Xenopus tropicalis: one gene and its partners. The protein of the gene in region 1 purifies or fractionates together with the protein of each later gene. This does not show direct contact. Links are inferred from orthologs where the notes say so. Each region holds a gene or a part of one and is shown in the gene's direction. Other genes may lie near its edges. The genes, in order: dhx9, ddx17, ncbp1, adar, hnrnpr, ddx5 and hnrnpab.

The links.
Region 2: the proteins of dhx9 (region 1) and ddx17 fractionate together in Homo sapiens (co-fractionation; 3 studies listed by BioGRID and IntAct, with this or other methods). This does not show direct contact. The link is inferred for Xenopus tropicalis from reciprocal best matches to the Homo sapiens genes DHX9 and DDX17.
Region 3: the proteins of dhx9 (region 1) and ncbp1 purify together in Homo sapiens (co-immunoprecipitation; 3 studies listed by BioGRID and IntAct, with this or other methods). This does not show direct contact. The link is inferred for Xenopus tropicalis from reciprocal best matches to the Homo sapiens genes DHX9 and NCBP1.
Region 4: the proteins of dhx9 (region 1) and adar purify together in Homo sapiens (affinity purification with western blotting; 3 studies listed by BioGRID and IntAct, with this or other methods). This does not show direct contact. The link is inferred for Xenopus tropicalis from reciprocal best matches to the Homo sapiens genes DHX9 and ADAR.
Region 5: the proteins of dhx9 (region 1) and hnrnpr fractionate together in Homo sapiens (co-fractionation; 3 studies listed by BioGRID and IntAct, with this or other methods). This does not show direct contact. The link is inferred for Xenopus tropicalis from reciprocal best matches to the Homo sapiens genes DHX9 and HNRNPR.
Region 6: the proteins of dhx9 (region 1) and ddx5 fractionate together in Homo sapiens (co-fractionation; 3 studies listed by BioGRID and IntAct, with this or other methods). This does not show direct contact. The link is inferred for Xenopus tropicalis from reciprocal best matches to the Homo sapiens genes DHX9 and DDX5.
Region 7: the proteins of dhx9 (region 1) and hnrnpab purify together in Homo sapiens (affinity purification with mass spectrometry; 3 studies listed by BioGRID and IntAct, with this or other methods). This does not show direct contact. The link is inferred for Xenopus tropicalis from reciprocal best matches to the Homo sapiens genes DHX9 and HNRNPAB.

Annotation. Positions count from the first base shown.
Region 1 is NC_030680.2:100,157,346-100,161,286, reverse strand, and holds part of dhx9 (ATP-dependent RNA helicase A), read left to right. Parts: intron 1-307; coding exon 308-354; intron 355-434; coding exon 435-571; intron 572-794; coding exon 795-884; intron 885-967; coding exon 968-1,129; intron 1,130-1,223; coding exon 1,224-1,298; intron 1,299-1,489; coding exon 1,490-1,681; intron 1,682-1,772; coding exon 1,773-1,914; intron 1,915-1,993; coding exon 1,994-2,076; intron 2,077-3,941. UniProt on the Homo sapiens protein: Multifunctional ATP-dependent nucleic acid helicase that unwinds DNA and RNA in a 3' to 5' direction and that plays important roles in many processes, such as DNA replication, transcriptional activation, post-transcriptional RNA regulation, mRNA translation and RNA-mediated gene silencing.
Region 2 is NC_030680.2:120,510,289-120,514,984, forward strand, and holds the start of ddx17 (probable ATP-dependent RNA helicase DDX17), read left to right. Parts: upstream 1-1,668; 5' UTR 1,669-1,810; coding exon 1,811-1,845; intron 1,846-4,238; coding exon 4,239-4,377; intron 4,378-4,572; coding exon 4,573-4,669; intron 4,670-4,696. UniProt on the Homo sapiens protein: As an RNA helicase, unwinds RNA and alters RNA structures through ATP binding and hydrolysis.
Region 3 is NC_030677.2:107,420,359-107,424,299, forward strand, and holds part of ncbp1 (nuclear cap-binding protein subunit 1), read left to right. Parts: intron 1-213; coding exon 214-321; intron 322-2,695; coding exon 2,696-2,817; intron 2,818-2,976; coding exon 2,977-3,046; intron 3,047-3,941. UniProt on the Homo sapiens protein: Component of the cap-binding complex (CBC), which binds cotranscriptionally to the 5'-cap of pre-mRNAs and is involved in various processes such as pre-mRNA splicing, translation regulation, nonsense-mediated mRNA decay, RNA-mediated gene silencing (RNAi) by microRNAs (miRNAs) and mRNA export.
Region 4 is NC_030684.2:142,282,748-142,286,688, forward strand, and holds part of adar (double-stranded RNA-specific adenosine deaminase), read left to right. Parts: intron 1-553; coding exon 554-689; intron 690-1,768; coding exon 1,769-1,983; intron 1,984-2,177; coding exon 2,178-2,331; intron 2,332-3,774; coding exon 3,775-3,941. UniProt on the Homo sapiens protein: Catalyzes the hydrolytic deamination of adenosine to inosine in double-stranded RNA (dsRNA) referred to as A-to-I RNA editing.
Region 5 is NC_030678.2:82,772,978-82,777,569, reverse strand, and holds the start of hnrnpr (heterogeneous nuclear ribonucleoprotein R), read left to right. Parts: upstream 1-1,545; 5' UTR 1,546-1,743; intron 1,744-4,592. UniProt on the Homo sapiens protein: Component of ribonucleosomes, which are complexes of at least 20 other different heterogeneous nuclear ribonucleoproteins (hnRNP). hnRNP play an important role in processing of precursor mRNA in the nucleus.
Region 6 is NC_030686.2:51,537,507-51,540,827, forward strand, and holds part of ddx5 (probable ATP-dependent RNA helicase DDX5), read left to right. Parts: intron 1-260; coding exon 261-357; intron 358-433; coding exon 434-567; intron 568-648; coding exon 649-714; intron 715-1,394; coding exon 1,395-1,536; intron 1,537-1,614; coding exon 1,615-1,775; intron 1,776-2,177; coding exon 2,178-2,350; intron 2,351-2,589; coding exon 2,590-2,700; intron 2,701-2,856; coding exon 2,857-2,918; intron 2,919-2,999; coding exon 3,000-3,059; intron 3,060-3,321. UniProt on the Homo sapiens protein: Involved in the alternative regulation of pre-mRNA splicing; its RNA helicase activity is necessary for increasing tau exon 10 inclusion and occurs in a RBM4-dependent manner. Binds to the tau pre-mRNA in the stem-loop region downstream of exon 10.
Region 7 is NC_030679.2:31,076,398-31,080,900, forward strand, and holds the start of hnrnpab (heterogeneous nuclear ribonucleoprotein A/B), read left to right. Parts: upstream 1-1,568; 5' UTR 1,569-1,585; intron 1,586-1,986; 5' UTR 1,987-2,013; coding exon 2,014-2,168; coding exon of another isoform or gene 2,169-2,207; intron 2,208-4,503. UniProt on the Homo sapiens protein: Binds single-stranded RNA. Has a high affinity for G-rich and U-rich regions of hnRNA. Also binds to APOB mRNA transcripts around the RNA editing site.

The DNA of each region.
Region 1 (3,941 bases):
GTGTGCAGTATATGAATGGCATCAGCCTGTCATTGTGTACATGAACATTTTCTGCAAAAATCAGCTCCCATTTGCACAGTGACAGGCTGATGCTATTCATATCACTAGCCACACAGTGGAAATAGTGTATTGGCATTTTCTTTGCCAGCAAGAAACAGCATTGTGTGCCAGAGATGGAATATATGATGTTTTAGGCTGGAACTCTTCTTTATCTGTGCTTTTTCGGTGACTCCCTAACAAGGTGAATAAATGTGTTACGTTTAGGTCTGTACATGCTTTCCTAACACTCTAATAAATGTTTTGGCAGGAGCTTTATTGCAGAAATGACCCTGTATGTTAAGCAGCTTGGAAGAAGTAAGTTCCCCAACTAAATATGCCATATGTATAGAAGGCATCTACCTTTGTACTCTCTAAACCTTTTGTTTAATATTCAGGAATCACGGCAAGAGAACATGGATCTAATAAGAAATTGGCGGCACAATCTTGTGCCCTTTCAATTGTCCGTCAGCTGTATCATCTAAGTGTAATTGAACCATACTCAGGACTGACAAAGAAAAAGGAAGGGGAGGCTGTAAGTTCCTTGTAGATAACCATCTGCATTGTAAATATTGTTTTTTGTTATCTTTGGATTATAATTGTCTCAAATGCAAAGTTTGTGGGTAATCTTAATTGTGATTCATATAATTAACTTAATTTCATTAGGAATACCCCAAAAACATTCTGAAACAAACAGATGCTGCTGCTTCTAAAAATGCTGTTATTACTAAGATGATACTAATGTTTCTGTCTGGCAGGTGGAACCTTATCAAGTGAACTTAAATCCTGATGTGGTGAAACAGCTGCAGAGTACTATTCAGGAGCTAGGAATTGAGTTACCATATCCAGTAAGTGTTTTGTAGTGTGCGTTTTTTTTCCCCTTTCCCTTTTTTGCTTGTTTTAATATAATTGCTGTGTTTTTCCATAATAGCCCCAGGATCCTAGCCAACCTGTGTCCCTTAATTTGGGAAAACTGGTACACTTTGAGCCTTCACAGAAGCAGAGTCACTCTGGTGTGGTGCCATGGTCTCCCCCACAGGAAAACTGGAACCCATGGACAAGCAGCAACATTGATGAAGGACCTCTGGCATTTGTAAGTTTTGTAGTTTCAGAAAAATAAAATGGTTGAATTTGCCTTCTTTTGGGTTAAATTTTTAAAGTTACATTGGCATCTACTTTCTTTAAAGGCTCCCCAGGAGCAGATCAGTGCAGAATTAAAGAATGAACACATGTATCACATGCAAGATCCTAACATGAAACAGGTTGGTTGATTCAGTTTCTAGACTATGCAAAAGTTTTTATAATTGTGGCTTTTGCTAAGCCTAGCACCACTATTTTTTCTGAATGTTTACAGTGCTCAAGACTGAACTGTAAAAACATTTGTAATCTATAATGTATTCAATGGTGTTTTAATATGTATTCTTTCAGTGAGTTCTTGCCTTTCACTTTTTAGGTCTTGATTGATCGAGAGTCTCTTCCTGTTAAGAAATTTGAGGAGGAAATAATGCATGCTGTGCATAACAGCCCTGTTGTAATCATCCGTGGAGCAACAGGCTGTGGTAAAACTACACAGGTCCCACAATACATTCTGGATGAATGTATTCGCAATGATCGTGCAGCGCAGTGTAATATTGTGGTTACACAGGTATAGTTCTGGAAATCAATTCTATGTTACTTAAACATAAAATAACATAAATGATGCAGTGGGTAGTGAGGTCTTTTTTCCTTTTCTATAGCCTAGAAGGATCAGTGCAGTATCTGTTGCAGAACGTGTTGCTTTTGAAAGAGGGGAAGAGATTGGAAAAAGCTGTGGCTACAGTGTGCGTTTTGAATCTGTTCTTCCCCGTCCGCATGCCAGTATGCTTTTCTGCACTGTGGGTACGTATTGCTTAATAATGATGGTTTTCCTTGTACAGTTAATTTATTTTTCTCTTGACAATATTATTAATATTTTCAGGAGTCCTTTTGAGGAAACTGGAGGCTGGGATAAGAGGAATTAGCCATGTGATTGTGGATGAAATTCATGAGCGTGACATTAATGTAAGTTACTCATTAAAAATAATTGAAAGGTTGCTTGGCTATGTTGATCTAACTATAACATTTTAGTTAAAGACTAAATTTTCCCCTTCCCACTTAGGACCCTCAGGCTGAGTAGCCATCTCATGCCTATGTTAATTATTTATCTCTACCACTGTTCAACAATATCCTAAGAAATATTAGTATAGTGTATTAGAAAAAAAAATATCCAAGAAATATGCTACTTTGTTTGCTGCAGGTTTTTTAAGAAATGTTCTGTCTACATTTATTGTAAAAGATTTTCAGTTTTAAGGCCAGCTGTCCCTTTAATATCTATTGGCAGAAGTTAACTCTTATAGTAGAGTATTTATAGAGGCCTTACTCCGTACTGATGCTACTGCATAAGGAATATAGTGTAAAGAATTCACATCAATATTTATATACTTTTGTATATGTTTTATTACTACAAGTCTAAAGGACATGTGAACCCCAAAAATAATTTTTTGCCTAATAAGAGAAAACATAATTCTAAGAAACTTTCCAATATCAATTAATTAAAAAATATTAGTGCTTTAAAAGTTATTTGTAAATATAATTGCTATAGAAAGCAGCATTTGCTGAACTCCTGGTTGTTACTTTTGAAACATTATTACAAGTGCCAGGCTCCTCCAGCAAGGCAGGTCTGTAAAATCTGCTTGCGTTTGTTACATTGTTTCAGTCGCCAGAGCACCCAAGGCACAGAATGGAATTAATAGCAGTTATGTTTCCCCTGACACTTTAGTAACAGTTATCTATACAAATAACTAAAAAAAAAACCATTACAGATATGTAATAAATATATATTGCAAAGTTGCTTAGAATTAAGTTTTCTTTTATTAGGCAATTTTTTTTTTTTCGGGTTGACAAGTCCTTAAAGCTTTATGTTACATTAAACCTTCCCCAAAAGCACCTTTATAAAAAAAAAACTGATTATTTGGCTGTCAGGTTAATGGCACACTGTGCACTTTCTCTGCCCGTGACGCAAACACTGATGCTGCCCCACCCCACCTCTGCGCAGCAACAGGCATGGTTTCACCTTGTATCATTACTTTTAGCGCAGTCTATGTCTAGCATGGATAGACTTTTTTTAATGTACACCTCAAGCATTTGAAATGGTACTTGAATTACTTGGTCACAGATAGACAAAACATGGTATTAGCCTGCAAAAAACTAAAAACCTGCTGTGAACTTCACAATAAAGGTGTTTACAGGCTAATATAGCTTTATGTCAAAAGTTCTTTATCTTTTTTTTTTTTTTAGATCAGCTCCAATGATAGGTAGATTTGTTGCAGGGTATCTAGTTGTTATGCACCCATCCCAGTGGTTCTAGTCACTTACCTTCTGGTGGTCTACTTTGCCATAAAATGCGCTTGCCTGGGATATTAGGGAGGGAGCACAATCTCTTTTGGCTACATTCAGCTGAATGCATGTGTGGTAGAGTAAAATCAAAATGTATAAGTTAACCTTTACTATGCATGCACACATGCCTGGTATCAGAGAAGGAATTGCAAGGAAGGCAGCCATGGCAGTGACAATGGGAAGGTAGCAAGATTGCAGCTCCCTGACACCTGTATTGCTAAAAGTGGTAGATATCAGAATACCACTTAATAGTAAAAATTCCAAGTCCAGCTTAGGACTCCTCCAGTTACATGGATGTAGGAAAAACAATAGGTTACCTGAAAGCAGTTCTAATGTGTAGCACTAGCTCCTTCTAAAAGCTGCCTACACGCCGATATTACAATTAAAAAAATACATTTGTTTGTTCAAGAATACAAATTTAAATGGTAGAGTGAATTGCTATGTAAACAGTGTAATATAGAAATAAAAAGTACACCTTAAAAATCATGACT
Region 2 (4,696 bases), about 20 Mb from region 1:
TTTCCTTGGGCCAGGTTGGAGCTGCAGAGTGCCATTGAGCCCTATGGAGACTTTCCTTGGGCCAGGTTGGAGCTGCAGAGTGCCATTGAGCCCTATGGGAGACTTTCCTTGGGCCAGGTTGGAGCTGCAGAGTGCCATTGAGTCCTATGGGAGGCTTCCAAAATCATGCAAAGTCTGAAAGTTTTGGCCGCCGTTTCCGAACACTCAATACGAAAAAGTTGCGTCAATATACGAGCAAATCGTAATGGCTACGAAAAAGTTGTGACAATTCGCGCAAGTCGTAACGGCTACAAAAAAGTCGTAACGGCGACTAAAAAATCGCATAAAATATGAAAAAGTCGCAAAATGTTTGTTTCCAATCCGAATTTTTCCCATTCGGATTCGTGGATTAGTAAATGTGCCCCATTGTCTGTGCCTCCCATATGAACTACATTGGGTTGCTCAGTAAGGGCTCTGGCACACGGGGAGATTAGTCGCCCGCGACAAAACTCCCTGTTCGCGGGCGACTAATCTCCCCGAGTTGCCTTCACCTGCCATCCCACCAGCGACAATGTAAGTTGTGAAGGCAACTCGGGGAGATTAGTCGCCCGCGAACAGGGAGTTTTGCCGCGGGCGATTAATCTCCCCGTGTGCCAGAGCCATAAGTGGGGAAAGCTGCCTGGCTGGCAGAGAGAGACTGGGAATTTATGAAACAGATTTGCCGGTTTCTCCCACTATTTAGCAGATTTAGAATGATATTCAAAATAAGCCCTATGGCATCCAATTTTCATTAGTATCTTAGTCATAAAGTATTACAGATTTGTCCTTATGAGAAGAAGAAGGGCAATAACAATTTTATTTGGCAACACCAAGGGGTTGCGCCTCTGCCATGCAGTGCTGGGGTCCTGAGTTCAGTCCCGGACAGGGTGCTTCCTGCATGAAATTCTTGCATTAGTTCTTCTGTACCCCCACTTACCCCATCCTCCAAACACATACAGGCACTTAACTGGCTTCTGAATAAACTGAGCACAGTGTGTGTGAATGTGATAGGTACCTTAGATAGTTAACTCTGCTGGGGCTGGGCCTCATACATAAATATTTATTAAGCACCTTGGAGATATTTCAACACTTTATATGTATAGACCAATAAATAAAAAATAAACTTCCCTGTTCAAAACTACTACTTACTATAACGCATACTAAACACACTGTTCTCAAGACACGAAAACATTTTCTGACGCTTTAGTCCAATTATTTGCAAAAATTGCAAATGGAAGAACCTAATATACACTCAAACGGGGCATAGCTTTGTTTTATTAGTCAATGAGGGTCTACGTTTCCAGACGCCCAGCATTATTCACTTGCTTGTCTAGAAACTGCAAGTCGATAACAGGTAACACCAACAATAAACATCGCTTCCCGTCTCAAAAAGCAGGTCTCCAAAGCAGCCACGCCTTCTATTCCTCTGATTGGCCAGTTGAGATGTCACGCCTTGCCATCACACCATTTTCCAAAACAACAGGGTGAGATGCGTCACAGGAGGCTGGTCGCTATTCTCTATTATCTGTACGCAAGTGGTAGTGAAAAGGCCATTTATACAGGCGGTCCTTGCGCCCGTATTGCGTAAAGTCTCCATTTCAAGAAATCTTAAGAGAGCGGAAAAGAACTCGGACGCCATTTTGCGTGTTGCTCAGTTTTAGAGCACATCAGCTGTTAACTTTCACTAAGGAACCCTGCCTTTGGATACTGTTTAAGCAGCGTTGCAACGCCCAGGGTTTAGAAGGTTGAACGGTGTCCCAGTGTCTCTTTGGTTATACGAGCAGATTTCAAAATGAGGGGAAGTTTTATGGATCGCGACCGAGGCGGGTGAGCGTTGTTTTGATACGGGCATTTAGCTGCACATTTAGGACGGCGAGGCATTGAGCACTGCATAAATAATATAAGGTTTGATAAGCACATCAAGCTCCGAAGCATTGGCTGAAAATGCGCACTGTTCTCAAGAGGTATCGGGTTTGTTGACGCAGTATAGCGTTGTTTTTGCGATCTGCGCCGGAGCGGAGCGACACAAAGGCACATAGGTGCGACAGCTGCCTCTCACGGTTGGTGGGAGCTGGAATTCGCCAGGAGTTGAAGCGCAGTTTTCCCACCCATTCCTTGCAGTGCTGTGTCCGCCATTACGTGTAAAAGCCTCTGTTTTATTTCAAGGGTAGCCGTGAGCTGAGCGCCATTTAGTTATTTATAGAGTACATAGACTTGCATTCCTCCTGCCCCCTGTGCAACGTGTATAAATAAAGTTTAATTCCCAGTTCTCTATACAGGACATATATTAATTGGGGGCAATAATAAACCCTGAGAATAGGGAAATGATCCCACCTCACACACAGTTTTGCAGGGCCCCCACCAGTAACCTGCACCTTCAGCACAAACCCATGGGCAGATATATTTTTTGTCTGTGCATAATTAGTAGGAATGTATTTCTAGGTGCTTATTATCCATTCACTTTGGATACTGTCTTGTTTTTCATTATATCAATTAATGTTTCTGTCCTTGCTGACCCCCCTTCCTTTCCACTACACCAGTGGCCTCAAAGCAGGTGCCCATTTTTGCATTTCTGACTTGAAGTTGAAGTTTTGGAGGCATAAAGGCCATGTGAACTGCTACAGAGAGCCTTCTGTAGGCTGCTTGTCCACATTGGGCTACCAAATAACCAATCACAACCCTATGGGCTACCAAATAACCAACCACAACCCTATTGGTCACCCCTAGGAACTTTTTTTCATGATTGAGTTGCTTCCCAACTGTTTAATAATTATATGTTGCTCACAGCTAAAAAGGTTGGGGACCCCTGCACTACACTCTAAAGGCTGTGACACACGGGGAGATAAGTCACTATGCGACAAATACTCCATGTCACAGGCGAGTAATCTCCCTGAAATGCCATCCCACTGGCTAGAAGGTAAGGCTGATGCCACACAAGGCGTTTTTTCTCTCGGCGGCTGAAAAACGCCCGATATCATCATCCATAGAATTAACTTAAAAAGACTCGAAGCAAACCACACAATGCGGGAATACACTAGAAAACGCCTTAGCATGGATTTTTCAAGCATTTGCCAAAATACGCCAGTATTTGCACAGCAAGCTATTCCTATTTATACACAAAGACAGCTGCCAGACCTAGTGGAAATACACGGCGTTTTTTACTATTTCACACTATTAGCACCATGGAAACGGGATTTGCTACGTCTCCAGTACTAAGCTGAAAAACGCCATAGTCAGGGGCTGTGTGGCTTGTGCGGCGTTTTGAGGCTGAGAAAAAACGCCACGTGTGGCATCAGCCTAAATCGCCTGTGAGATGGCATATGTGGCACTGCGATTTGCCAAAGTTTCCTTGAGAGAAACTTCGGCAAATCACAGCGCCACGTATGCCACCCCACCGGCGATTTACATTCTTGCTGGTGGGATGGCATTTTGGGGAGATAAGTCGCCCGTGATAAGGAAGATGTGTCGCTCGGCAAATACTGTATATACTCGAGTATAAGCCTAGTTTTTCAGCACCCAAAATGTGCTGAAAAAGGTCACCCTCGGCTTATACTCGAGTCGGTTGCCATGGGTCCCTCCAGACCAGCACCCTCTGTCCTTTGTGTGCAAATTAGGCCCCCCCCGCAACCAGACCCTCCAGTGCCCTGGCCCGTCCCAAATTCATCTTCATCTATCATCCTTACCTGTCCTATTCTGCACTAGACATTGCAATTTATATTCTATATAAACTATACATAGTTTTGAAGGATTTTAACTCTTTGTGTTTTAGCTTGGTTGCTGATTGAGCTAGTTTACTGTATTTCTTTTAAATAAATATTTAAAAACATACCCCACTGATGCCTCCATTAATGTAATTTTATTGGTATTTATTTTGATTATTGAAACTTAGCAGTAGCTGCTGCATTTCCCACCCTAGGCTTATACTCGAGTCAATACGTTTTTCCAGTTTTCTTAGGTAAAACTAGGTACCTCGGCTTATACTCGGATCGGCTTATACTCGGATCGGCTTATACTCGAGTATATACGGTAATCTCCCCATGTGTCAGAGCCCTAACAGCAGTCAGCCCCTTGGGATTGTTCACTAAGCATCAGCTTTTTTGTTTCCAACTGGGGATGTATACATTTTTTATATGATGTAATGAATAGCTTTAGGTTATAATATTCAAAAAGTGCTAAAAAAGTCTCCTGATATACTTTGTTTTTATTTTTTGGATGACTAGTGGTGCTGGTATGTCACGCTTTCCAAAATTTGGAAACCCCGGGGAGCGTCTCCGGAAGAAACGCTGGGATCTGAGTGAGCTGCCAAAGTTCGAAAAGAATTTCTATACAGAACACCCCGAAGTGGCACGCATGACACAGGTGAGTCTGGATGAGCCCCTTCTGTTTTTATGACCATAGGCATGTTTGGGCACCCATGATTTTCTTTTAACGTACCATGGCGGTCAAAATACATGTCTCCACATGCAGCTTGTTATGGTTTGTTTTTTTTTCTATGGGAAAGCTCTACTTTTTACCTGTTTACAAAAATCTCTTGCAATTATTCTTTTTCTCTAGCATGATGTGGAGGAGCTCCGTAGGAAGAAAGAAATTACTATCCGTGGTGTAAACTGCCCTAAACCTATATATGGTTTCCATCAGGCCAATTTTCCACGTAAGTTTTTAATATTATTGCCTAGAA
Region 3 (3,941 bases), on another chromosome or scaffold:
TTTTTGGATGCAGTATACAGTCAGTCACAACTGAAGAAGGCACTCTGAGTTTTCTTGAAACCGTTTCACCACTCAAAGTTTAGTTTTAGACTTAATTCTACTAAAAACTGTAGTCACTACGTTCATATTTGCTTGGTACTGTGTGAGGTAAAAATGTTTTGAAAAGTTACAAATTCATTTTTTCCTCTTGTATTCCAATGACTCCACTTATAGGTTCGTTTTCTTTGTGACCTTGTAAATTGCCATGTAATCGCAGCTCCATCAATGGTAGCCATGTTTGAAAGCTTTGTTGGAGTCACTCAGGAAGAAGATATTCCCCAGGTAAGTTTGAAACACCAGCAAAAGAAGGCAATATACATATGAAGAGACAGTGATTAAAATAAAAATGTAAAATTAGGCCATAAAATATCCCTAATGTGTTTCATGCCTGTTGGGGCACTTGTAATTTAATTACCAATGTGTTTTGTGCCTGTTGGGGCATTTACTCAAATGCTAGTCTATTATTTTTGTTTACGTTAAGGGATGCCTTTGGATAATGACAATTTTGGACAATTACACCATTCCTATTCTTTAAATAGCTTTACTTTATAGTGTATATCTTTGTTTTTGGTCTGTTTAAACACAGTATTCAGTATACATATGAGTTCAAAAAGACTGCCTGCATAATTGATTTATTTTAAGAAAATGATTTGTACCCTAAAGAAAGCCTATAGAAACTGTTTTCTACTGATATAATTAAAAATATTTTCTTTTGTTTCTTCATACTTTGGACAGTTGCAAAACTGCAAGTGTTGGAAATGTACGCAAATGTTGCCTAAAGAAGCCAATCTGCCACTTTATACACAAAAAGAGTTTTGCCTATACTCATAGTGCACTTGTCATTAGTGATGTATGGGTTGACCCGAAACCCACAGTTTAACTTGCTGGTGGGGTGGGTTTGGATTTAGATTTGGGTGACCATTGCAGGTTCAGGTTGGGAGCAGGTCAGACTGGTGAAGTACACTCCTGCTCCCAGAGGCATGCACAGAAAAAGCATACAGAGTTGGAAGATGCGGGTGGTATGGGTTGGGTGCGGGTCCTACAATGGCAGTATTTTGTGGGTTAGGGTCTGGTATGGATTGAGTTTTTTCTGACCAACACACAGGGCTGTCGAGTCGGTACATAAATTCTTCGACTCCAACTCCTCAGTTTATGGTACCTACAACTCCTCTGAACACCAAAAAATGAGAGCAAAAAATTAATATATTATATTCTTTTGCTCTACACTGGTAAAAGTTGTGTTTGTTTCAAATCTCTACTATTGTTTATATAAACAAATGTGCTGTGGGGGTAACTATTCAGATTGAAAAAGGCCCTTGTTACATAGCAGAAAACAGATAAATTGTGTAGATTGCTATTGTATTCTGCAGAGTGTATCTGTTATCTGCTATGTAACCTGTGTCTGTCTTCTTTTTATCCAGCTTGAAAGGCTGACCCCGTGGCTACAAAGCAGCTTTGTTTATATAAACTATACAAGTCTTTCTGAAGCAAACATGACCCTTTTACCAGTGCAGGGCAAAAGTAGATGACATTTTAATTCCTTTAAAACATTTTTATTTTTTTGGTTACTGTTTCTTTAATATACTAATGTATTTCCATGTTGCTTGAAAGAACTAAACATACAAGACACTTCATCACTGCCAAAGCTCATCAGCTTTAAAGCTATATCAAGATGGTGTCTTCTTTTAAGAACAAACCAAAGAACTACTGGCTAGGAAGCTGATGCACTAACCTACTGGCCATCCAAGCCTGGCACTGCCAACATGGATGAGGATACTGTTCAAGTTTGGGTCTAATCTATAACTAAGCCTATGTCATTGTGGCTTTTTGCTTTATTAAAGAAACTACAAACATTCCTTAAACCTAAAGTTTAAACAGAAGACAAATATGAATACAATAAGCTTCTAAAAGCTCTGCTGGACTTCACCCTAGTGAAACGGCTATGCACTGGGCTATATTCTTACAGCAGAGAAGTACAGGTATGGGACCTGTTATCCAGAATGCTCGGGACCTGGGGTTTTCCGGATAAGGGATCTTTCCGTAATTTGGATCTCCATAACTTAAGTCTGCTAAAATTCATTTAAATATTGAATAAACCCAATAGGATTGTTCTGCCTCCAGTAAGGGTTAATTATACCTTAATTGGGATCAAGTACAAGGCACTGTTTTATTATTACAGAGAAAAAAAGAAATCATTTTTAAAAATTGGAATTATTTGCTTATAATGGAGTCTATGGGAGATGGCCTTTCCGTAATTCAGAACTTTCTGGATAACGGGTTTCCGGATAAGGGATCCCTTACCTGTACTTTATTATGACTATTATCTTGGAAATAGGACATTGTAACATATTGATTTTTTTTTTTTTCATTACAATTTAAATTTGTTAGGTGTTGGAGTCGGTACATTTTTGCCAACTCCAGGTACCCAAAATTGCTTCTGACTCCACAGCTCTGCCCACACATTACTACTTGTCATATATCCAAAATTAGCTGGAGTTAGGGTTATTAAATTAACCCTTTCAAACTGAATTCACACCTTCTTTTAGAATCTTACTGCAAAATGAAATATAAGAATGCTTTGATTACCTCTCTAATGTGACTCTCAAGCATGTGGTCAGAGCCATTGTGTAGTTTAAACCCATTATTTTAATTGCAGGTGCGAAGTGACTGGTATGTATATGCTGTTCTTTCTTCACTGCCATGGGTTGGAAAAGAATTATATGAGAAAAAAGATGTTGAGATGGACCGTATTTTATCCCAAATTGAAGCTTACCTGAAGTGAGTTATTTCCCAGTTCTTGTTGTGTATTTGTATTCTCTAAATTGAGCCCACAAGTTTTGGCTTGTGCTAATCATAGCCTATAAGGTTTTATGTATGTACAGTCAGTGTTTATTTTTTAAAAAAACGAAAACTAAGATTTTATTTTCCACCCTTAAGGCAACGTCAAAAGCTCCATGTATCTATTCTACAAGTATGGTCAGCAGAAAAACCACACCCACAGGAAGAGGTAAGTTCTTGTCTTTTAATGCATTCTTTTAAATATATAATATATACACAAAGGATGGCACACCGCTACATAACATACCTCGGGTGCTCGGTAAAGGGTTCCAATAGTCCCCGATGGGGACCGAAACGTTACGTCGGCTGTTTATGCTACTTTGAATATATGTTTTGATTTTTCACAAGAAATCCCGGAGTTGCTGGTCTTTTTTTATTATATATATATGTATATATATATGTATATATATATGTATATATATGTATGTATATATATATGTATATATATATGTATATATATGTATGTATATATATGTATGTATATATATGTATATATATATATGTATATATATATATATATATATATATGTATATTAAAATTTAGTGGCCTGCATTTTTTCTTCAGATGCCTAATAACTTACCATTGCAGGCTTTAAAGGGCACCTATTATCTACAAATTGTTTCCCCAACTGGAGATGCAGCCATATTTTAGTCTCTAGGCTCATTCTTTATTCACATATATGTGATGCTACACGAGCATAACATCGATACAAGTGTGCGGACCAAGCCAAAGCTGGGAAGCTGTTGTTAATGTCCCAACATGGCCACCTGCACCAGGAGATCCCGGTGGGTGACTAAGCATTTAGTGGGGTCAGGGGAACATTTTTTGTATGGTAGGTGGCCTTTAATGTTTAATGGATGCTTGTAGGTTTTTCTTCACATTTCTGAATGTGCTGATTTTAGCCTTGAAAAATGCACAGGAAAAGGTCAGAGTGACTCCACAGTCCTTAGCAGATGGTCAGGACTGCAGATCAAGGCCATGCTGCTTTAGGGCCATGATTATTTTAGAGACCCTCCAGCCCCCTGAGGAAGATTAAACCTTTTAGGGTGCCCAAATGCCTTCC
Region 4 (3,941 bases), on another chromosome or scaffold:
CCCAATAAGGGGTAATTATATCTTAGTTCGGATAAAGTAGAAGGTACTTTATTATTAGTACAGAGAAAAAGGAAACCATTTTTAAATATGTGAATTATTTGATTAAAATGGAGTCTTTGGGAGATGGGCTTTCGGTAATTTGGAACTTTCTGCATAATGGGTTTCCGGATAAGTGGTCCGATACCTGTACTACATTCATTATATAAATCTTGTTTCCCTCGGGCTTGCCAGTACACAATCACGGCTTTGCATCATTCCAAAATCTTGTTTATACTGCACTATCTGAAGTGCTGAATGGAAAGCGAAAGTAATTTCCTGCCCCTATGCCTGAAGCATAGAGGCGGGGAAGGCAATATATGATTGACAGCTCAGATTTTCCTTCCTCTTCTAACTCATTCCAGCTTTCAAATAGGGGGGGTCACTGACCCCGGCAGTCAAAATCAGATTTTTATTCATGGATTCGATAGCCAATCGGTGTCTTTAATTGGTGGGAACTATTTGAGTGGACTGATCTGTGCTTTGCCTGTGCTTATACTGTGCTGCTTATATGTAGGTTCACTTATACTGTAAGGATTGGAAACCAGACCTTCCCTCCTGTAGTGGCTAACAGCAAGAAGATGGCCAAACAGCTAGCCGCCGAGGCTGCTGTGAGGGAGCTCCTGGGAGACAGCGTGCTGCTGCCTGACAAGGTAAACAAACCAGACAGACTTGAGAAATTCTACCTCTTATACTTGGGTATCCAGCTTTTACATTCATAATGGCACTTTACTATTTAGAGTTTCTATATTAAAGGGGTAGAAATGAACCTTTAGTTTGTTTATAAGATGGCCAGTTCTTAGCAACTTTTCAGTTGGTCGTCATTTTTTTCTTGTGATGGTTTCTAAATTATTAGTTTTTTTCTTCCAACCGTTTCCAGCATTCAATGACCCCAGAAACCCACAAACTATTGTTCTGAGAAGCTGCAATTTTATTACTTTTCTTTCTATTCAGGCCCTCTCCTACTCATATTCCAGTGCTTGGTTGCCATGGTAATTTGGACCCTAGCAACACAATAGCTACTGAACAAAACACAATAGCTACTGAACAAAACACAAAATGAAGACCAGCTGCAAATTGTTTCAGAATATCACTCTCTACATCCTACAAAAAGTTAATTCATAGGTGAACAACCCCTTTAAAGGGGAACTGCAACCAAAATTTGTTGAAGAGCCCCGCACAACTGAAAAACCCCTAATATACCTATCGTTTTAATCTGTTCCTTCATAAAAAGTAGGAATAAATACCATTATTATGTGCAGAAATCCAGCTGTAAAACAGGTATTCACCTTCTGCATCATTTGAAATCCTGGCAGGGGAGGAGGGACTAAAACACTGATGTTACAAATTGTAACGACTCCACAGCTACATAACCCACAATGCATTGCACTGGGATGTTCCTTTCCTTATTACCATCACATGTGCAGGGAATTGTGGGATTTGGGGATGCAGGCTGAGGACAGTCAACTGTTAGATTATTATTTTTTTTTTGAGTTTCAAGATCAACAGGGGTTGTTGCTTAGGGAACTGTTCCTAACCATATAATTACATTAAAAAGCATTAAATGGCTGCATGTTTTTTAATTGAAGAAAAAATGTTTGGGGGGAGTTCCCCTTTAACTCTGCTCCTGATTGCTAGGATCATTGTTTGCCCTTCAAACGTACGATTAGATAGGTGCCCCAGCCAGGGCGTGGTGTGACAAAGCCAACGTATCTCCTCTTTTGCCTTTTAGTTGGAGCCCAGTTTCCATCCCAACCCAACAGAGTTCCCTGCAGTCCCCGAACTCTCTGTGGAAGATCTGAAAATGGCCCAGGCGTCCAGCGTCGGGGACTTGATCAAATATCTCAATGCCAACCCGGTCAGTGGCCTTCTGGAGTACGCTCGTGCCAAGGGGTTTGCCGCTGAGTTTAAAATGGTCAACCAAACTGGACCCCCCCATGACCCCAAGTAGGTGAACCCTTGACTAACTGAAGCTGATGATATTATTGGTCAATGATAGCGAATAATTAGTCGAGCCCTGACCCACTTTCTCCCTACAAGCCCTGTCTCGAATTCCTATGATCCCTTTAGTTTTTGGTTTAATAGGCCTCATCCAATCAACAGGGACCTATCATTTTCTCACATCTGTCTTTGCCTCTCAGGTTTGTGTTTCAAGCAAAGGTCGGCGGTCGCTGGTTCCCAGCTGTCAGCGCCTCTAACAAGAAACAGGCCAAGGCAGAAGCTGCCGACGCGGCACTGAGGGTCCTAATCGGCGAAGCGGAAAGGGCGGCTCGGGAAGGGGACGTCATGACGGAGGTAGGTAGCCCCGAGAGAATGTGGTAGGGGCGACAGAGGGAGCTAAGCTTAAATAATTTGATGCAGAAAACTGATTCTAAGCAACTTTTCAATTGCTCTTCATTATTTATTGTTTATAGTTTTTGAATTATTTGCCACCTTCTTCCAGTTCTTTGCAGTTTTTAAATGGGGGTCACTGACCCCGGCAGCCAAAACCTATTGTGAGGCTCCAGTTTTATTGTTCCTTTTTCTAACTTTCTTTTCTATTCAGTCCCTTTCCTATTCATATAACAGTCTCTTATCCAAACCACTTCATGATTGCTAAGGTACATTGGACCCTAGTAACCAAATAGCTGCTGAAACTCCAGGCTGGAGAGCTCCTGAACTAAAAACGAAATAACTAAAAAACTACTACAGGTAATAAAAAAAAAAAAAAATGAAGACCAATGGCAAAATGTCAAGGTATATTATTTTCTACATGATACTAAAGTTAACTCAAATGTGAACAACTCCTTTCACCTTCAACCCAAGTTTTAGTAAAATGTAGAGAGCGCTATTCTGAGACAATTTGCAATTGGTCTTCATTTTTTATTTGTGGTTTCTGAATTATTTGGCTTTTTCTGCAGCAGCTCTCCAGTTTGGAATTTCAGCAGCTAGGGTTCAAATTACCCTGGCAACCAGGCTTTGATTGGAACGAAAGACTGGAATATTAATAGGCGATAGCCTGACTACATAGGAAAGTGATAAAATGTAACAATAACAATACAACTGGAGCCTCACAGAGCAATAGGGTTTGGCTGCCGGGGTCAGTGACCCCCATTTGAAAGCTGCAAACAGAAGAAAAAGGCAAATAATTCATAAACTATACAAAATAAATAATGAAGACCAATTGAAAAGTTGCTTAGAATTAGCCATTCTAAAAGCTTAATTAAAGGTGAACCACCCCTTTAAAATCATGTGACTTTTTGTCACGTAAACCCGGAAGTCGAAGTTTTTTCACTGTGCGGTTCTCTTTAATCCTTCCTTATCGGTTCGGCCAAATCTTTTGCAAAGGATTGGGGGGGGGGGTTCGGCCGGATCCTAAAACAGTAGATTCGGTGCATCCCCAATGGGTCCTTAGTGGTCCTCTGAGCACTTTCACAGTTGACATTAATTCCAGATATTAGCAGTTTTAGACTTCTAATATCAGACTTTTTGGTAATGTAATAAATCGTCTTATGTTTGCACCTTGCCTAGGAACGTATTGCAGCCAATCAGCAGGTAGTATTTACTGGTCACCTTTTGGAAATCAAGATTGGTATATATATATATATATATATATATATATATATATATATATATATATATATATATATAATACCAATTATAATGCTCTGAAAGTTGGCTTCTGTAGGCTTAGCTTTATTCCCAGCCAATGAAACTTGTCAGTTTTGCCTAAGCGTCTCCCTTGTATCTGTCCTGCAGCTCCCGGTGAGCGGAAGTACTTTCCACGACCAGATTGCCATGCTTAGTCACCAGAAGTTCAACAGCCTTACAGCCCGAATCCAGAACAGTCTGCTGGGCAGAAAGATCCTAGCTGCTATTATCATGAAGAAGAGCAGTGATGACTTGGGCACCGTGGTCAGCATCGG
Region 5 (4,592 bases), on another chromosome or scaffold:
GAATGCGTTTTTTTCGTAATGATCGGTAGCCGTTACGACTTTTTCGTAAAAAAGTAATTGATTACTTTTTTCGTAATTGTAGCGTTACGACTTGCGAGAATTGTCGCGACTTTTTCGTAGCCGTCGCGCTGAGTACAAAAGTTTCGGATTCATTCAAGCTTCAGTATCGTGACTTTCCTTGGGCCAGTTTGGTGCTGCAGAGTGCCATTGAGTCCTATGGGAGGCTTCCAAAATCATGCAAAGTCTGAAAGATTTGCCCGCCGTTTACGAGCGCTCAATACAAAAAAGTCGTGACAATATACGAGCAAATCATAACGGCTACGAAAAAGTCACTACAATTCGCACAAGTCGTAACGGCTACGAAAAAGTCGTAACGGCGACGAAAAAATCGCAAAAAATACGAAAAAGTCGCAAAGTGTTCGTTTCCAATCCGAATTTTTCCCATTCGGATTCGTGGATTAGTAAATGTGCCCCTATGTTTTGTATTTATATTTTATTATTATATTGACATCTGTCTTTTCTCCTAATATTAGGTATAGTGATGCAGGGCACAAGTAACCCTATATAACTAAACATATTCATATAAATATACATCCATATAAATTGTAAATATTACTCATGAATGCACAGAATGTAGTTTTCAAATTCCACCCCTTTTGTGTCACAATTAGCAAATTTTGTATTATTGTTATTATGGGCTAGGCCTGGATTTTGATCACCAGCCCTGGAATTACTGGAACTGACTAATATGACTGCAGACACTGCACAGAGATCATTGTGAGTGATATTAATAGCTATATCTATAAACAGCGCTTACTAATGTAATGTGATAACCTGTGTCACGTTCCTCTGTGAAACTTGTGTATAACAAGCACTGTTCCCTCTGTTGTAAATGTACTGCTTTTAGCAACAGCATTTGGGGTCTCTTATTTGAAAACCCAATGCCCAGAAAAGCTCCACATTATGAGGCCATCTTGATTTTCATTACATTACTTTAAACCCAGGTCCCAAGCTTTCCGGGTAATAGAGCCCATACTGGTATTTATGATATATGAACAACAAAAATGCAATTACACTGCATCACTGCTTGTGAAAGTTGTGGTATATGCAGAGTAGAAATGTCAACGCTGCGAACACTGACTCTCCTTGGCAGCTTTGGTGTTTTACACCCATACATATAACCGTGCCTTTCATCTTTTCATCTAAGCTGTACCCGAATGTACTGCAAGTGCGCATATTTGTACGTACATATATATGTATGCATATGTGTGTGTAAACGAAACTGGACTTAAACATGCAGCACAGACATTATATTGGTACATGCGATATATATTAATCGGTCCAAACAATAGCTCATTGAAAGCCAGCAGCATTGTCTTCCACCCCGAAAAGCTTCACATCCCATTCCTTTCCATCCTTAGCCATCCCAGAGGCAGCTATTTCATTAGCTACAAACTCTCTCGCAATCACCAATCCGAACCACTTCTTTCATAAGTCTGCCATTGCCTATTATGTACTCCGCTTCCCAATTGGCTGAGGTGTAACGCCTTCCCTCCCGCTTATTCGTCTCCTCCTACCCGCAATAGGCTAGTCCTTGGCAGCTGGTGGTGTGGACCCCGCGGCCAGTATTGTTGATTGGCTTAGTAGGGATAGAGAAGGCGGTGGTTCGCAGTCCGTGAGGCGCGCCATTTTACTAGCTCACTGTAACAGCGGGCGTGAGGCAAGAGGGCCATAGCTCTGCAGGTGAGTAGGCTTCCTCTGTTCTCGTTGCGTACGCTTCTGAGCGTCCGGCCACGGTTTCCGCAAAGCTGTAATGTTTGAACCTGAATAGCAGCCAAGTATGACAACCTTCGCCGCCATTGTACTTGTCCTTTTTGCGTTTTAAATTGGAGTAGATGTAAAACTGTATGAACAGTTAGGTGTGTATTCCGCAGTAATGAATACTATCCTTCAGACCTCAATAAAAAAAATCACTGCAAAACAATGTATAATGCTAATGGAATTCCGGAAAAAATATGGAATGGTTAAATGTTCATTGTAGCTTGTTTGAAGGTGTATGCCATTCATTTTAAATGGGCAGCATCTATTGTGTTCAGTGTATGTAGAGGTCCATGACTTGGGTGCTGAATTGCGTTAGGGCACTAACATAGTAAACGGGCTAGTTTTTATGGGCTGTCATTTATTGCATTTGTTAATATATGTGCCCTTTATACTCTTATTTATATTGCATAGTGTGCAATGTTATGTAACTCATAGCTATTGAAAATGTAGTTTCCAGCTTTGTTGGACAGGGCTTTGATATGTGAGGTTTTGCAGCAGCTGTAGAGACACAGTTTAGTCTCTTCTGGCTTGGCACTTGGAATCGGTGTCAGTTTCTAATTGTACAGTTAATTAATTAGTAGCAATTAAAATGATGCGTTAAAATGAAAGTGTTTTTTGTTCTCACTATAAAGGGAGCTAAGCTCCAGTAACCGTTTTGTGTTGTGATTTACCTATCGGTAATGTGGCAAGGAATTTTGCCATAACTTTTGATTGTTTATGGTGGTTGTTTTCTAAACAAAGTAAATTAGTTGTCAGTTGAGAGACCCTGACTGCCTATGGGCGCATGACACAACTGCCTGACATTGTTTAATTTAATATGCTCGCTGAAAATGTACTATAGTGGATAACAGGCGCACAAGTTGGACTCCGTTGGTTAAATGTAAATACATACAGATCTTAAATGGTTCTTATATGTTGCTTCCCCTGCAATTTTGTCAACATAACAAAAAGCCGAGTTGCATTCTAAGATAACTTGATGTTGATCCTCATTTCTTATCTTATTTTTTCCCCAGTTCTGGTGCTCATTTTGAACTATTTGATGCTAAGATCACAGTCCTTTAAAAGCACACCATCAACCCTAAAAAAAATTTAACACATGGAAACTGTATCTAGTGTTTAAGTGATTGGGGTTTAAGCAATTATCTTATTAAAAACCCAGTGATTGTAATTGTTCACCTGCCTGGGTCTCTGGTCAGGTAGGCCCATTGGAGTGCCCCATGGGCAGATAAGCTACCAACTTGGACTATAGGAGCTGAATCAGAAGCCAAAATCTGCCCATGTATGGCTGCCTTTAGTCAATGGATTGAAGATTGTAGAGGCAGGATTAGTAGCCCTTTTCTTTATTACTATATACATTTTTACAGGCTGGGGAGATAAGAAAAATGATGCCTATACTTTATTCAAATGGGATAAGGGCAAAGACACACAGAACTACTTAGTAGCAGCTACTTGTCACCGCTACTAAATGCCAGAAAATACCCTACCATAGACAATACTGAGAATTGCATCTGCTAAACACTCGTAGAGAGGATTATCAGTAAATGTCTGTTTTTGTAGCAGTGACAAGTAGCTGCTACTAGTAGCTCCATATTGCTTCATCTAAAGTGCTGTCAACTTAGCTAATATAGTACCTGTAAGAAATGCTTGGTATTTTACCTACCAAATTAAAATGCTGTTGTGTAGTTATCCCTAGCAGAAGGAATTCTGGGAAGGAAGCCCAGGATTGCTCTTAATTTCTATACCCTATCCTTACCCACTGGGTTTATAAAGCACTGCCAAGACAGTAGGCTGACTGGATTTCTACCCTGGCTGTGCTTTAAAACCCAGTGGTGAGTTTCTGTCTATAGGGTGTGAAATGGAGTTTCCTTTACAAAAAATTCCTTCTGCTTTGCATATGGATGAGGACATCTCTTCTCAATCAAAATTTTTTTTTTAGTAGCTGTTCCGAGTAATATCAGATTTGGTTTCTTGAAAGGGGCTTTTGAAGAGTAGGGAGGTTATGAGAGGTGTTTAGGAATGGCCTGACCATCCTCATACATTGGCAGCATACACGCGGTAATTACGATTTTTCCCACAACCATTGGGCATATGAAAGATTTTTCATCCTCTCTAGTAACGTTAAGAGCTGAATCGTCAGGTATGCAGGTAAAAACAGAGAAATTATTTACCCCATCTGACAATTTAGCATTAACTTTACAATGTTCAGGCCCCTTCAAAATTTTCAGTCCTTGGTGAGACAACTGATATCCAAGGCTTTTACCAGTAGCGGTCGCCTTGTCTCCCACTGTGCGCACACCGATTATCGTACAAAACTTTGTTTCATATGATAATATCTGTGCGTGTATGACAACCTTAAATCTGCAGGTTGAGTTAAGTTTTCATACCCCACTCCACATTCCATACCCCACTGCAACTAATTTGTACAGGATTTCCATTAGTCTTCTACAAGTAAAGTAATAAAAGTAACTCTTTACCTGAATCAGTCATGGTTGCTGTGGTTTACTGCAGTAGTGCATATTTGCCGAGGACATGAAAGTAGTGGAATTGCAACATGTATATGCCTAGGTCTTAGTCTGGCTCATTAATGCTTTTATTTGCCCATTGACACTTTGCACTGAAAAAAAACACTAGAATACTGAAATAAGCATTTCTTAATGATCCATGTCTGTTACCACCAGCACCTGCTATAGGCAGAGCATTTGCCAGTCTTTTTAATGGTAATGGTGGCCATGGGGCTTTGATCAACACCGTGCTTTCAGGATGAGCCTTGG
Region 6 (3,321 bases), on another chromosome or scaffold:
GAAACTGCCTGGCTGGCTAGCACGGGTGGTTATTATGTATTGTAAATGATTGCTATGGAGATCAGTGCTTTGTCCTGTCCTGCTGCTGTTGGATAGGGTGGATATTTACCTGGGACATTCCTTATGGAGAGATTTGGGTGCTCTAGACCCCTGTAATTATAGTAAATAAATGAGTGTTCATTGGGCCACTACACTATCTAACTGAAATGGCCAGGGGGGTTGCTCAGATTACTAAATCCAATATGGACTTTGTTTTGCAGCAAGAATGTGACCAATACAGAAGAAGCAAAGAGATCACCGTACGAGGGCTTAACTGTCCAAAGCCAGTTTTGCAGTTCCATGAAGCAAGTTTCCCAGGTAAATCCCCTGCCCCTCATCTCTGCAGCTCTTTATGTTGTGTTGGAATCGGCCTGACCGCTCTGTCTCCCTATAGCCAATCTCATGGAAGTGGTTAAACGGCAGAACTTCACTGACCCCACTCCTATTCAAGGGCAGGGATGGCCAGTGGCTCTGAGTGGGCTGGATATGGTTGGTGTTGCAATGACTGGATCCGGAAAGACCCTTTCTGTAAGTACTAGGCTGGTGATGCTGTTCATGCTGGCACATGTGCAAATGTTAGTAAGTTAACCCTTTACATCTTGTTTGCAGTATCTACTTCCTGGGATTGTCCATATCAACCATCAGCCATTCCTACAGCGAGGAGATGGTCCAATTGTAAGTAGGCTTACTGCAGAACATCTGAAACCTTCTCTGAGGGCATGGTGTATTTAGGGATGGCTTGGCAATGGGGTTAGACTGTAACAATCTTACTGACCAGAACTTTATAAAAGCACAGCTTTCTCTGAGCAACAGTCACCCCCTAATTAAGGTGATTGAATTGCAGGTCTAAGCTTAATATCCCATGTAGTAGCAATCAAGTAAATTGTGTCGGTGGATTGCTGCTATTCTATACTTGGCAGAAATGAATAGGTTCTGTTGGTATTTGTATAGTGAATTCACTTGGTACTGCATTCAGGTTAATTGAAGTTATACAGTGCTTACCCCTAAATATGTTGACAAAATGCCACAAATTGTTAGGCTGGGGTGAGACTATACAAACCTGTGGGGTGCTAGGGTTCTTGCTTTGTCAGTGATCAAGATGGAGAAAATAGATCTGCATCACAGGCTCTGGAAAAGAACAGAATCTAGAGCAACATTGCTAGCCCTTCATACAAATCCAAAACCATGCAGTCTGTCAGAATATCTGCAGCTTTAGAACAGTGCAGTGCTTTCTCCAAGAATAGAACTCTGCATGTACCTTTTACAATCTGGTGGGAATAGATTTCAGAACCACATCTCTATTTCCAGAGATTTCTGTAAAGACATAAACCATAATCTAACATGTTTCCTTACAGCTTTTGGTGCTGGCACCAACCAGGGAATTGGCTCAACAGGTTCAACAAGTGGCAGCTGAGTATGGGAGAGCTTGTCGTTTGAGGTCCACCTGTATTTATGGGGGAGCTCCAAAGGGACCACAGATACGTGATCTAGAAAGAGGTGAGACATCTCACAATATGTCCTGTGTACCTTGATATCTCCCATTTGCTATGGTTCTAAACAATGCTGTTTCTTTAGGAGTTGAAATCTGCATTGCTACACCCGGAAGGCTGATAGATTTCCTTGAAGCAGGAAAGACCAATCTGAACAGATGCACATATCTAGTGCTGGATGAAGCTGACCGGATGCTTGACATGGGCTTTGAGCCTCAGATCAGAAAGATAGTGGATCAAATTCGAGTAAGTGCAGCTTTGCTTAAAGGAGACCTAGGATAAATGCCTAACAGTCCCAGCCAGAAGCACAGTACTAGGGAAAACCAATCGCAGCCCTGCACTCGCACAAGCCAGGCTTCAGTTCCATATCAGGTCAGCCTAGCTGCTGATTGGTTCCTATCCTACAGTGCAGTGTACTGGGAGCTGCCGGCTCCCCTGCACATTCAGAGAATTCAGTCAGCAGGAAGTGGAACAGATGGGCGGGGGGACTACTGGTATATTGGTGGAATTTCTCACTAAGTCCAAAACACAAATGCAATCCTTCCATATCTAGGAGAATGAATCACTGGTATATTTTTATAGGATGTCTCCTATGTTCCTATGGTCATTCCAACTGTGTGGGATACTTACTGCTTGTTTTGTTTCTAGCCTGACAGACAGACGCTGATGTGGAGTGCCACTTGGCCCAAAGAAGTCAGGCAACTTGCTGAAGACTTCCTCAGAGATTATGTTCATATTAACATTGGTGCCCTGGAGCTCAGTGCCAACCACAATATCCTTCAGATTGTTGATGTGTGTAATGATGGGGAGAAGGATGAAAAGTGAGTTTGTATTAATGTGTAAACTTTTTCTAATTCCCACTCACCACTCTCTCATCTGGCTAACTTGTCCATTACCAGCTGTGGTTACACATTGTAGCAGTGCCAGGCTGCAGTTAGCCATGAAGGTTAGAATAGCATTTTGGCTGCCCTAAGGCATTACTTTAACATAGCACGGCCTTATGCTAACTGAAACGTTGACCTGTTGATGCTGGATTTATGAATTGCATCTTTTCTTTAAGGCTTGTTCGTTTGATGGAGGAAATTATGAGTGAAAAAGAAAATAAGACCATAGTGTTTGTTGAGACCAAGAGGCGATGTGATGACTTGACTCGCAGGTTGAGGAGGGATGGGTAAGGATGATTTCAAACTTTCCATGAGCGCTATTGCACTTCCATTCTATGTCTCTTTAATATTGAAAATGGGGAGGGGCCTGTTTAAACTCCAGATGCTGGTGCTTTATGGAAAGTGTTTTCTTTCATGATGAGGGGAATGTTTTGTACTTACAGGTGGCCTGCAATGGGAATCCATGGTGATAAGAGCCAGCAGGAACGTGACTGGGTCTTAAATGGTAGGCAAGCTGTGCACATTATTGCTAAGCTGGCAATTATAGGTTCTTTGCATTTCCTAAAACTGTGTTCCATCCTTGCAGAGTTCAAACACGGTAAATCGCCTATCCTGATTGCCACAGACGTTGCTTCCAGAGGTCTAGGTTAGTACGTTCAATCTGTTTTTGCTCGGTGAAAGCCAATGAACGGACGACTGTTGTGAAATGTCATTGTTTTAAAGAAAGTGATTTGCTTTCTTTAACCTCTGCAATTCTCTTGAGTTTTGTTTTTCACAAAGGTGCGGTCTTTGTGGCAAGGCCTAGGCATGACATTCGGAGGACGCAAGGGGATGGAGGACTAGTGGAAATTGGCTGTCTGCTTCCAGTTGTGTAGAGAAGTGGAAAGCTGAGCATCGTGTGCCAGTAT
Region 7 (4,503 bases), on another chromosome or scaffold:
ACATGAACCTATATGCAATATGCCAATGACTAAGACGTGGAAATTTTGGGGAGAAAAGGAAATTAAAATGTCTAGGACAGTAGGAAAGGACAGAAAAGCCACACAACTGCTTATTTATATCCCCAGGGTTATTCACATAAGGCCGGTGGCAATTAAATGGGAACAGAGATGCCAGCCCTGATCAGTGCGCACATTAGCTCCGCCCTTGCTCCCCAATTGTGCTGCAGGGACCAGTGAGAATTTTAGGTGACAATTCTACATCACGCACTTATGATTCCTGTACAAATTACTGTCAGTGTCTGGCAAGCCGGTGACTGTGGGCAACCAGGAGGGGGGGGGGACTCACTGGGCTGATGCTCTAATCATTTTTTGGGGCTAAATCTAGTCACGCAAGAGCAAATGGAAAGTGGCAGGTATATATGTATATCTTTATTTTTAAAGCGCTGTACAGTAGAATACATTAATACAAATAGGGGGTTATTAAGATAATAATAAATACAAAGTATTACAATAAATACAAATAAATACAAGATACAGTTGCAATAAGAGTCAAAGACACAAGAAGATGGAGGTCCTTGCCCCATAGAGCTTACAATCTATATCTAAATCTATAATCTAAATATGTGGATTTGGTTCTCCTTATTTGAGGTGGCAGGGTAAAAAAAAGGCAAAATTCTGCTCTACTTCTTTTCCTTATGCAAAGTAGAGCAGAATTTTGCCTTTTTTTTTACCCTGCCACCTGAAATACAGAGAACCAAATATAAATATTTAGATTATAGATATAGGTTGTAAGATCTATGTATATATATATATATGGATTTGAGCAATAGCGCTGTATATATATATATATATATATATATATACACACACACACATATTTGGATTTGAGCAATAGCGCTGTATAGAGGAGACTATAAGCTGGCAGGGGCAGCTGAGCTCCATTATAGGGGCCGCCGCGCATCCCATCTGTTGAGGAGCACAGCCCCCCGTGTAATCCCCCCTCCCCCACTCACGCTGTTGGGTTACAGCATTCTCTATGTGCAATCTCTTGGCATTTAATCACACCTAAACTCAGAATCTCCCATAGAAAAAAAAAATGTCCGCTAAGAGTTTTCAAGCAGCATTTCGTCAGTTTTACAGTATTTTTATTGCAATTTCCTCCCTGACCCCATTAAGGACAAAACAGGGCCGATCATAAAAACAAGGGAAACACTGGGCGAGCCGAAAGATTACGCCCGGCGGTTGCGATGAAGCTTCGATAAAAGGAATTTGTTTCCTCTCCGCGAAGTAAATACACAACCAAAACCATAGCCGATTTGGGGGAATCTACGAACTATGATGGCGTTCATGTAGAACGACTCGTAAAGAAGAGATCGCGATGTTTAGATGAGCTCACAGGCACCGCCCCTCCTCGGACACAACGCACCAATCGCGCCTGCTGATCAATACAATGGCTGTGGCGCACTAGCCAATCAGAGTAGGTTGTGTTTCGGGGTGCGGCGATCCGGCTTCTATAAAGGTAGCCACGAGTTGGCATTGTTGGGAGAGTCCATCTTGGAGGAATTTGGCGATTGTTGGCGCTTGTGTAAGAACGGGGAAAATGTTGGGGTTGTGCGTGGGATTTATGGAGCTTAGGGGCCAGTGGGGTTTTTCCCGTTTGTTATTGTGTAGGCAATATGGCGGGCGCGGTGATGGGTGGCTGTTCCCTTAGTTGCGATGGGGTAAATGGCTTATTGGAATCCCGCTCGATTTTCTTTTGTACCCCGCTAGGCATTTAGCCCCTATCGGGCTGCACTATGTGCCACTTGGGCTTATTGTTGGCTCAGGGAGCTGAGTGGATGCGCAATAGAGTATTATGGGGTAGATGTGCTTATTAGTGGGGCCTGCGGGGTTAGCAGCGACTGTCGGCCTGTGTGCCCGGGGCCTAGCGGCTCCTACTTTACTTTTCCCGGGATTCACTCTCTCTCTCTCCGCTTTCCCTCCCAGCCTTTCAGTGCATAGAAACCCCTCACAATGTCCGATACCGAGCAGCAACAGTACATGGAAACTGGCACCGAGAACGGGCACGAAGCGTGCGATGCTGAGGCCGCGGAGAGTAAGGTGCCCGGGGGCCAGAACGGCGCGGAAGGCGATCAGATCAATGCCAGCAAAGGCGAGGAGGACGCAGGGTGCGTACCTGATATTTCTTCCCCTTTAACTGAAGGAGTGTAAGTTAATTTCATCTATCTTTCATATTTCTCTGGGGCTGGGGGGATTGTATCGGCGCTTCCTTTGTTCCGCTGCCGCCTTGGCGCCATTGCCTGTGTGTGCTGGGGGGGGGGGGTTACTCATCGGCCGATAACTTTATATATACGCATAGTCCCTCTGCACCGTTCTATTTGCGCACTTATCCTCTAGGCAGGATTATTTTCTACCAGGAAGACTGTGATAAAGCTTATCAGGGCCACTGCAGATACACAGTCCATCTGAGGCTTTGTGCGACTGCAGAGTGGTGCTTTTTGTCAGCTCCTTATGCCCCATGCAGGAGATGCTGCAGCCATGGCAACTAAATAGAAACACTACTGTAACTACTCACTGTTGCCCCTGTAACTACTCACTGTTGCCCCTGTAACTACTCACTATTTTTACTGCTGTCTGCAGCCTGTTATGCCATTCTGGCTACTGCATCTTTACACATTCCATCAGGGTTGCCTGCTGAATCTATTGGTTTCACTTTCCACTTTGGGCCAATGTTCAGTCATAGCCTTGTTATAAGATTGTTGGGTCAGTTACCCTACAAATTCTGGCAAAGTTGATCCTTAATCACCCCCCCCCTGTTTCAGACTGCTTTTGGAGGGGACTAAATGTTGTCCTTGTATAACCTCTTTATTCCACAGGATTCTACCTATTTTTTACAGCACAACACTGGTTATTTATAGTGGCTTCCTACAGCAATAAGGGATCAGGGGCTCTGCTCTCAAGAGCTTTCAATCTGAATAGATGTGTTTTATACAGAATCTGCCCCTGCTTCTGAAATGAGTGATCGACTGTCCTGTTTACACTGGGAGTAGGAATCCACTCTGAGACCAGTTTGCAGGGGCATGTAGCCTAAACTTGTAATTTCATGCTTTGGGACCATGTATATTTTTTTCATTGACTATGCAGTGAAACACATTGTCACCTTCAGCACTTGGGTGGCAGGGCAACAGTTGATCTGTTTATAGATTACAAATTTCTCTTGGAAAATTTTAAGCAACTAATTCTAAACTTTCCAATCATTAATTACAAATTTGTATTTTTTTGAGAATTGCTGCTATTAAAAGCATTACCTCTGTCATTTTCTGTTCTCACCTGATGGTTTGGCAGTGTAGCAGAGATTGGACTGGTAACAGATCTGTAATAAAGCATGTAGGGGCAACACTTGTTATGTTATAACAGTGCAGAAGGTGGCAAATGTACTGTGTTCAGTTACTATTATCAAATGGTATAATTTGGAGATTGTAATTCTAATGAACTTTAAAATGTTACTTTTCTTTTAGGCTAAAATGTGGTGTTTTGGCTTTACATCCTGCTTGAAGGAAAAAAATAGATATTCTTTATGCAATATCCTTAGACTTGCACTGTACAGGAAATGAGTTAAAAACAATATACACCCCCTTGTTCAGAATTTCCATCAGTGTCTTGTGCTAAACACTTTCCTATTAAGTCATGGTTTTTGTTTAATCTCACTGTTAAGTGCAAGAAATTTACCCCACACAAGGGGCAACTTCTCATTTTTTCATTTTTAGCAAAAATTAGTCTGGCATTCTTTGCCAGTAGATGTGCAGGCTTTTTGGGGTTTTGTCTAAATCAACTGCCCCATATCAGATTTTGGCATGGTTTGTATGACCCAGCTGTTCTAATTCAAGACCAAATTAGCAATTCTATTTAAACCTATTGCCAGTTAAATTGGGGTATTGGGTCAGAGCCTGTCAGGATGGCCCAATATGAAGTAGTGCTAATGTAGAGCTATTCAGGGCAAGTGCTAGGAATCTAGGAGAGCAGTTAGGTGGCTACTAAATCCTTGTTGGTGATCGTGCTGCTCTGGTTTTCACCACTGCCTCTTTACTTTACTTTAAACAAAAAATGCATTTGCCCACTTATACTATTTAAAGTACAGTCCCCGCTTTACTAGGATAGTGCAAATGTAGCTAAGGCACATGTGCTGTATACAGAAGATGTATTTGCCTTACAAATCTGATGTTGTGTGATGGGTATTTTATTTTTACAATTCTGTTTATCTAAATCTGACTCTTTTTGTACATTGCTTTAATGGACTGCCAGTATAACTATGCAATGTTTTATTCCTAACGCATGTATCTCTCTTTTTACCCTGTTTGTATAAAATGTTGCTTTGGGATCCACAAACCAGGAGTAATGTCTGCCAGGGGTACACTAGTATTAAGGGACTCGGTCAGTGCTCCTTAGCAGGTTTACATTGTAAGCCTTGGTTTGAGTCTTTCACTAAACAACTCTTCTGGTGAA